2 linked regions of the Zea mays genome follow. The protein of the gene in region 1 interacts with the protein of each later gene in a pairwise test. Links are inferred from orthologs where the notes say so. Each region holds a gene or a part of one and is shown on either strand. Other genes may lie near its edges. The genes, in order: two-component response regulator-like PRR1 and protein TRANSPARENT TESTA GLABRA 1.

Region 1 (4,557 bases):
CAACCTCCATGGGTGTGGTCGCCGACGACTCCGCGTCTCCCATTGGCACCGACGGTGATGGGAGCGCGATGGGGAGGCCGCATTCAACCACCGGCAGCGGCACTATCGCTGTCTATCCGTGGAGCACGAAAAAGTCCACGTTGTGCACTTGAACGCGGCGTGCAATGATGGCGTTCACCGGTTGGATCGCTGCATCTTGGCCAGCGGCGTACGCCTCCAACAGTGCATCATCGACGACATGGAGAACTTCACGCATTCGACGGATGCGAACGAAAACGGTTTGCTCCATGCCTCTCCTGTCGTTTTGGAGGCTGGTGCCTCCGTTCTTGTCAAAACAGCGAGCGTTCTTCTTCTTCTCTCTCTATTCTCGTGAGCACGTGCTAATAATGTGTTGTAATTAGTGAAAACGAGGTTAGTGAGAAAGTGACAACAGTTAGTTCTTTATTACAAAGGTGTTTTGTTTATATACATATGAAGGGGTGTATCACAAAGGGGTGTATCCCTTGGAAAAAATATGTCGCATTCCTTGGATCTTTGATTGGTCACATATACTCCCTCCATTCCAGAAAGGTTGTCGTTTGACTTTTTTTAGACCAAATTTTTACCGGTTTGGCTTATTCAAAATATTTGTGAAAATATAGAAAGTTTTAGTTTATAATTAAAGTAAACGGTATGATACTAAATCATAATGAAAAATAATAATTATAAATTTTTTTGAATAAAACGAGTCAATCAATCTTTATCTCAGAAAAGTCAAATGATATTCTTTCTGGAACAGAGTATAATATTTTGTAACAACGAGAGGAGATTAGCGCGAGGTCGCGCTCCTGACCCCACCTAGCCGGTCTGTGTCTGTCCTTCCACGTAATGACGTAAATAGTAACACTGTCCAGTCCAGGAGCAACCCAAAAGCGTGGGCGTGGCTCCACCTCGTCCTTTTGCCAAAAATCGCAGTACAGGTCTAAAGAAATCTAAAATCGCACAATCGATGGCCGACGAGGATTATAACATTTCAGCGACTAGTTCGCGGACACGTAGCCAAAAGCGAAGCATTTGACGGAGGCGAGTTTTAGATATTTTCACCCGCTCCGTCAGTCAGCTGCTGCTTGCACGAGACGTCGGTACGGGCGGCCGAGATCTCCTGGCCGCCTCGCCCAAGCGCGCTCAGCCGTTCCTTGCTTTTATTTTACTCCCCGGCCGCGGCGCCGTGCGGCTGGCTCTGCATTCTCCCCTCCGGCCCTCCCCTCGTCTTCTCTTCTCTTCTCCCCGCGGAGCGAGCGAGAGAAGCAAGGCCGCTCCGTGCCCCCAACCCCGCTCACTGAGCAAAGCGGAAAAAGCGAGGAAAATATCCTGCTCCAGCGAAGCACCGCAGGCCGCAGCCGCAGCCGCAGCAGAGAAGAGCAGACGCCATCGCCCGCAGCCGCCGCCCCCGGAGAATGGTGCGGGCCGGACCGCGACGGGCGAAGGAGGGCGCCGCGGCCCCCGGCGGCCCCCGCCGCCGCTGATAGTAGTCTACCTGCTGCTAACCAGCCATCTGAAGGCACAGTGGTCGCACGCGAGGGGCCCGGATTGATTGGGTGATAGGCGGCGGGCGCAGATCCACCGACCCCCTCGTCGTGCGCCTGTGTCTCTGGTTCCGGTCCGTGTCCCCTTGGCCGCTTGGTGGAGGCCGGAGGCGTGGTCGGTGCGTTTGGAGTTTGGGTATGGCGGGTGGCGGCGAGGGGGATCGCGTGGGTGTCGGGGGAGCCCAGCAGTTCGTGGACCGGAGCAAGGTGAGGATTCTTCTCTGCGACGGCGACGCCACCAGCTCCCGGGAGGTGCTGCGGCTCCTCTGCAACTGCTCATACCATGGTTAGCCTTAGTCAACCTTTGCACCCCCACGTACTTAGTTTCTCTAACCGTTGGGATTTCCGGATTTAGGACTCTGCTTGCTTCTCACCATGGGCTTAATCATTAGTAGTACTATAGATACTACCAATACGATGGCTTGTAATGATAGGGATCTGTTGGGTGTCATGTGTGCCTTCAGCTTACTGTTGTGCTGCTGTTGTGACGGTAAACTTTCTCTTTCAGTGACCTGCGCCAAGTCTCCGCGGCAGGTGATCAATATCCTCAACTACGAGGGCGGCGAGATCGACATCATCCTGGCTGAGGTCGATCTTCCGGTCTCCAAGTGCTTCAAGATGCTCAAGTACATTGCCCGGAACAAGGACCTGCGTCACATCCCCATCATAAGTAGGCTGCATTCCTATACTCTGCCTGCCTCGTGCCTGTTACTGTGATTGTGCTTGCTGTGACCATCCTCCTGTTCGATGGAACCGTGCAGTGATGTCCAACAGAGACGAGGTGTCTGTTGTTGTCAAGTGCTTGCGGCTTGGCGCCGCCGAGTACCTGGTGAAGCCGCTGCGCACGAATGAGTTGCTGAACCTTTGGACCCATGTGTGGCGGCGGAGACGGATGGTAAAGGGCACTATGCTGACTCACCTTAACCTCTGCGTTTAGAAGCATGCTCTAGGCTGAGATGCTCGTAGGCGTTGATGTACCGCCGTGAATTATTCTTTAAATCGAGTGCTGGTGTTGGCAGCTTGGTTTGCCCGAGAAAAACTTCTTCAATGACAACTTCGAGTTGGTGCTCTCAGAACCTAGCGATGCCAATACCAATAGCACCACCCTCCTCTCAGACGAGACCGACGATAGGCCTAAAGGAAACACGAATCAAGAAACAGGCACCTCAAAGCAACTTGAATACGAGGTAATGAACCAAGCACCCATTTGGAAGATTGTTGCAGTCCAGGTTTTTTTTATGTTTCCAGTTCTGTTCTTTGACGTTGCCACAAAGATCTGCCCTTTTGGCTCTATGTTGTATGTTGATGACATGCTAACAGTATACTTGTTTAAATGCCCTTCCACTTGGCGTGTTTCAGTCTAATCCTTCGGTTGCTGAGCCCGACCAGAGAGAAAAGATGGAGGGTGTTCCAGGCTCTGCCCTAGATGCCAGTAAAAAATGTAAGATGTTTCAGCCGGACCTTTGTTCTGCCCTGGAATATCTGATCTTGTATTGTTAATCACCTTTATTTCTCTATCTGTTTTCTGATCAATTATTTTAATTGCCAGCCTCTCCAAGAAGAGCGTTTTCACGCCCTATAAAAACTAACCTGAGGGTTGCCGAGTCGTCTGCATTTCTAGCATATGTCAAGCCAAGCACCCCAGCCACCAGCTCATTTGACAGCGAATTACAAAGGGGTGGCAGCCGATTAGATTCCTTGGATAACCAGGGTAATTGCTCTAGCGCAACCGATAGAAGTGACACTGGTACTGATGTAAATATTCGGAGTAAAGAAGCTTTTGAGATGCCTGCGCAGTACCCTATGGTATGGTTTTCTTCCTCTAACATGCATATGGAGCGAAGCAGCGAAGGCCATAATGATACTTCAGGAACTCCACCTGCATACCATTTCCCATTTTATTACCCAGGGATGGTAGAGCACAACATGGCACTTTCGTCGGCGCAAGATTTTCAAGCAAACATAAACAATGCTCAAGCACATACACCGCCAGCGATGCTTCCTCAGTACAATGTTTATCCTCAGTGCCATGGTTTACCTGTGATACCATCATTTCAGTTTAATCCTTCTGGCATGAGTACGCACTCAAGTCATTTACCAACGCAAAATGTGTGGTCATCGGCATCGAGCACACCACCAGTGCCTGAGGAAACATGCAGTCGCTCTGAAAGGAGGGCTGCAGCACTTGCCAAGTTCAGGCTGAAGAGGAAAGAGCGCTGCTTTGACAAGAAGGTGAGGTATGTGAACCGGAAGAAACTCGCTGAAACGAGGCCAAGGGTGCGAGGTCAGTTTGTTAGACAGCCAACCAATACGGATGTCATCAGCATTGGAGATGATATATCTGAAGACGAAGATGACGATCCATCGTCCAGGGAGGTAGATATGGTTTCTTCTCCAGAGTAGTAGTGGAGAGGTCCTCCATGTGAAAAAATAGACTGCAGATGGTTACTGCTCATCTTGTTACAACTCAGTAGACCTAGGCAATACACCCTTTTTGCTCACACACAGTATTACATTTTTGTCCCTAAAACATGTGGCTGTTACCCTGGTTGCTTTAATGAAGAAATCATCTTTGATAAAGTGTAGCTGAAGTTTTGCTAGTTATTGTTGCACAGACCAGTCTAATCAATATGATCTTATGGCAGGATAATCTTTTGAGAAAAACAGGGCTATTATTGTACATTCCTCCTATTATTCCTTATTCCATGTGTCTTTTAGATGACCAAGGATCCATTTCTGGAGGAATGGGGAACTACGTTGATTAATACTCATATGTTTATGTTGTGTGTTAACTAGTCAATTTATAGGTATCACCCAAAAATTCAGCGGCAGCTTGGACAGATCAAACAACTTTATATCCTAAACAATGAATTAAACAAGGAAAATTGTTTAACAGCCAAGAGTTAAAAAAACAGTTAAAACGGTAAGAGAACAGACTTAAGGCTCTTTGATATCTGTGGAGTCGTTAGAACTTATGAGGTTTTTGAATGCA
Region 2 (4,554 bases), on another chromosome or scaffold:
TGAGATCCAAAATTACCGATTGTCCCCCAAGTCCCAATCGGAGGCATTTATCATTCTGTGTGCCTTTATCCTTTTGATATCAGCTTGGTTTACCTTTTGGCCATGGTTGATTCTTCTTCAGCTGTGTTTAATAATGGAGTGAATGTATTTTTTTTTGAGGAAAATGTATTTTTTTGTTGAGGCGGTGCTTTCAGCCTGAAACGATGACATAACAAGCAGTATACATGCAATTAGCCAATTATATTGGAAGTTTCTTCCTTGTTTCTGTGCCACCAGTATTAATTTTTCGCCTTGGGTCACGTGCAATGTGTTGAGCCCGAACAATTGACTAGTTCTTCTTTGGGGGTCACATGAGCGAATTTAAAAACTATTTAGTTGCCTTGGAAGATTCACAGCCCTGAGGGGACAACACGATGTATCTAGGAAATTGCCAGTCTTTTTTCCACATGTTGCCAAGTTTTTATTAAAAAACAAATAGGATGATGCTGATTGCCTCTACAAACTTAAATAAACAAAGATTACACACGAAAGCGCAAAAGGATGAATCTAGGAAATTCCTGCCATTTCATATGGTGAAATTTCTTAAGCTCACAGGTGGTGTTGATCTGTCTTGCAGACCGTCGGGAACAAGTGCTTTGAAAAGTGCGTGACCAAGCCAGGATCAAGCTTGAGTGGAAGCGAGAGCAGCTGCATATCACGTTGTGTTGACCGCTACATTGAGGCCACTGGTATTGTCAGCCGCGCATTGTTCACTTCCCAGCGCTAAGATCACATGAATAAGGAGATGGTTTCGAAGATCGCTCGTGAGAGTAATGTCGCCATGAGTTTTTTGACTTGTCGGAATACAATGACATTTGATGCTTGGTTATTCAAAAAAAAAGTCTGCCTATAGACTCAGGTTTCTTGTACACCTATCTGCTTTAGTAATAGAGAAACGTGCTCTATTTAAGTGGCTCTGATGTTAATTTATGCTCATCATGTGGTTTGTTTCGCTTAATGTTGTATGCTTCTTATGCCTGTTTGTTGCCCAAGCCTTATCGAATATCGTGAAGGATGTGTTGTTGTTATTCGTCGATTACGTGCTCTTCATCAAAGTTATCTGAGCATGCGCATCCTGCCAGGATGAGATGCGCATGTCCCCGGCGCTAGAAATGAACCATGGAGTCGACGTCGACGAACTCATGTCCCCGGCGCTAGAAACGAACCAAAGATTCCCAGTCCACGAAATGACCTGACCAGGGATCCGGTGACATGGGCAACAAACTTTGACCAGACGACGGCTGACTCGTCGCCGGGAAGGATTACAAAAACCGGTCGAGATTCCCATTATCGGTAACGTTTTCGAGTCGACTTTTAAAAATTCGTCCAAAACGTATTTTTTTATTTTTTTTATAAAAAAATAAAAAATATGATATAACCACGTGTTCTCCTGGTACATCTTATATTTAATTTTATTTTTTTAAAATTAATCAGCATTTTTGTAAAAACAACGAAAAACCGGTAAAAAATTAATCAGCATTTTTTTGTTTAATTTGAAGAATATAAACCGGTCGAAAAATTTAGAAACTGACGAAAACCGGGTTTTAACTATTTACTGATTTGTTGATTTACAGATTTTCGAAAGTTTTTTAATTTAAAATTTAAATCGTTCAGTTTTAGCAAAAACCGTCGGTTTCCTAGAGGTAAACCGTTTTCGTTGACTACTGGTTTTTGGTAAACTCTACCCACGTCATCCCACGTTCCAGTTCCACTTCTACCACAACGGCACAACCTCAGTCCTCAGCCCGGCGAGCCGCCGCCCGCATCGTTCAACCCCCGTGCCCGGCCGCCGTTTACCTACCGCTCGCACGCGCGCGTCGCTCCTTTTATCACCTCTCAAGTCCCAGCAGGATCGGCCCCCGCGCAGCTTCGCCCCCACATCTATCGACCCGAATTCTCCACTCAATGGACCCACCCAAGCCGCCGTCCTCGGTCGCCTCGTCGTCGGGGCCGGAGACGCCGAACCCGCACGCCTTCACCTGCGAGCTCCCGCACTCGATCTACGCGCTCGCCTTCTCCCCCGTCGCGCCCGTCCTCGCCTCCGGCAGCTTCCTCGAGGACCTCCACAACCGCGTCTCCCTGCTCTCCTTCGACCCCGTCCGCCCCTCCGCCGCCTCCTTCCGCGCCCTCCCGGCGCTCTCCTTCGACCACCCTTACCCACCCACCAAGCTCCAGTTCAACCCCCGCGCCGCCGCGCCGTCCCTCCTCGCCTCCTCCGCCGACACGCTCCGCATCTGGCACACCCCGCTCGACGACCTCTCCGACACCGCCCCCGCGCCCGAGCTCCGCTCCGTTCTCGACAACCGCAAGGCCTCCTCCGAGTTCTGCGCACCCCTCACCTCCTTCGATTGGAACGAGGTCGAGCCCCGCCGTATCGGGACCGCCTCCATCGACACCACCTGCACCGTCTGGGACATCGATCGCGGGGTCGTGGAGACGCAGCTCATCGCGCACGACAAGGCCGTGCACGACATCGCCTGGGGGGAGGCCGGGGTCTTCGCCTCCGTATCGGCCGACGGCTCCGTCCGCGTCTTCGACCTTCGGGACAAGGAGCACTCCACCATCGTCTACGAGAGCCCCCGCCCCGACACGCCGCTACTAAGGCTGGCGTGGAACCGCTCTGACCTCCGCTATATGGCCGCGCTGCTCATGGACAGCAGCGCCGTCGTCGTGCTCGACATACGTGCGCCCGGGGTGCCGGTGGCCGAGCTGCACCGGCACCGGGCGTGCGCCAACGCAGTCGCGTGGGCGCCGCAAGCCACTAGGCACCTCTGTTCGGCTGGGGACGACGGGCAAGCATTGATCTGGGAACTGCCTGAGACGGCGGCGGCTGTACCCGCCGAGGGGATTGATCCTGTGCTAGTGTACGATGCAGGCGCCGAAATAAACCAACTTCAGTGGGCGGCCGCGCACCCGGACTGGATGGCCATCGCCTTTGAGAACAAGGTCCAGCTTCTTAGGGTCTGACAAGGTTGGTATCATGGTGATCTTTGGTTTGATGCTTTCATTTCTATATAGTTTCTGTTGATTATGTCAATAAATTTAGATTTAACTAAGGGTCTGTTTGGATGTAGATATTGGAGATGTTGGTATTGAATTAGATCCAATACCTTATCTGTCTAGTATTGGAAATGAGGTTCAATACAAATATGTTGTTTGGGTGTATCTGGAATTGCAATTCCATACAATACCTAGAATCTTGGATCTGAATTGTGAGAGACACTTTTTAGTTAAAGTTCAATTCCAAGGAATTGAACTTTAATTCCAGCTCTGAATTCTTTAGCCAGCCAAACAGCAGAATTTAGAATTCCTATTTCCAATTCCAGTCTTGAACATCTACATCCAAAAGGGGTATAAAGACTATCACGCACATTGTTACACATTGGCATGAGGTAGTGTAATTGTACAACTTTACTGAAGATTCATACAGAGCTAACTCTGTCAGTATTACCATATATGGTAACCTAATTTTTTTAGTCCTATGAAGCCTGGAAGTTGCTATTTTTTGCGCATCTATTATGAATTATCCACAAGGACACGAGCTGCTTTCTTTTTCTGTATGTGCTGATTATAAGTGCTAAATACAGTATTTAGTAAATGCATGTATGAGGAATTTAGAATAAGTTCGTCTTTATTTGAAAATTCCTTGGAACTTAAGCTAAATCGATATATAATTGGTGATCTATGTTATCACTTTCCAATGCAAACATGCAGTCCTGAATTGAACACTCTTTTTGTGAACTTGAGAAAAAGGTCCAGTTTTCACCAAGGAAGTTCAGGCTAGTGTTGTGCTAGCTGAATGAAGGTAAATGGTTCCATAAATAGGTTAAACATAATGTCAACTAGTAAATTGCTCGCGCTCCGCGCAAGGTGTTGCTTGATATGTTTATAAAAGATATAGAATTGTGTAGTTTCAAACATGTATATGTACATATATACACATAGAAGCGCTAAAATTTCTAAATTTATAATTGTTTATAGTATCAGGATAGTTCAGACTGAAAATATAATAGAATGAGCAGTCTAAATGTTATATTACATTGATGTGGTATGTAGGAGCTGAGTTCCATGCACAGAATCAATAAATTTCTAGTCTTAGAGAAGACCAAACTTTTTTTTTTCAAGGTTAAAGTACGAAGTACCAATAGTACGTACTTACACATAGGAGCGATGCCAAATTATAAGGGTGTGCACATGCACCAGGGTCCAGGGAAGAAAAATACAGTAGTAAGTTAGCTGATTTCTACAATATAATCATCACTACAAAATTGCCATTTTTAGAGGAAATATGGTAATATGCAAGTTTTCATTATATTATTATGCATTTATGTATTGTGTTTGACTGCTTGGTCTTTGAAATGAAATCATTCCACATGAAAGCTATTAATATTTAACCCTTAAATGATATTATTACAGGTAGTTGTAGGTTAGATGTAATGTGCTAGATTGTCAACTGAATTGAACATGGCATCTATGAACTTGGTAAGAAAATATAGAATGTTCACCTGCATACTC

The links.
Region 2: the proteins of two-component response regulator-like PRR1 (region 1) and protein TRANSPARENT TESTA GLABRA 1 interact in binary tests that used the Arabidopsis thaliana proteins (3 or more experiments, as listed by UniProt). The link is inferred for Zea mays from reciprocal best matches to the Arabidopsis thaliana genes TOC1 and TTG1.

What each region holds. Positions count from the first base shown.
Region 1 is NC_050099.1:145,826,675-145,831,231, forward strand, and holds two-component response regulator-like PRR1, read left to right. Parts: upstream 1-1,574; 5' UTR 1,575-1,703; coding exon of another isoform or gene 1,704-1,851; intron 1,852-2,073; coding exon of another isoform or gene 2,074-2,183; coding exon 2,184-2,235; intron 2,236-2,326; coding exon 2,327-2,460; intron 2,461-2,584; coding exon 2,585-2,752; intron 2,753-2,924; coding exon 2,925-3,006; intron 3,007-3,114; coding exon 3,115-3,968; 3' UTR 3,969-4,215; downstream 4,216-4,557. UniProt on the Arabidopsis thaliana protein: Controls photoperiodic flowering response. Component of the circadian clock. Expression of several members of the ARR-like family is controlled by circadian rhythm.
Region 2 is NC_050100.1:204,509,356-204,513,909, reverse strand, and holds the start of protein TRANSPARENT TESTA GLABRA 1, read left to right. Parts: upstream 1-1,740; 5' UTR 1,741-1,944; coding exon 1,945-3,006; 3' UTR 3,007-3,010; intron 3,011-4,554. Other genes in the region: pale aleurone color 1, read left to right, coding at 617-766.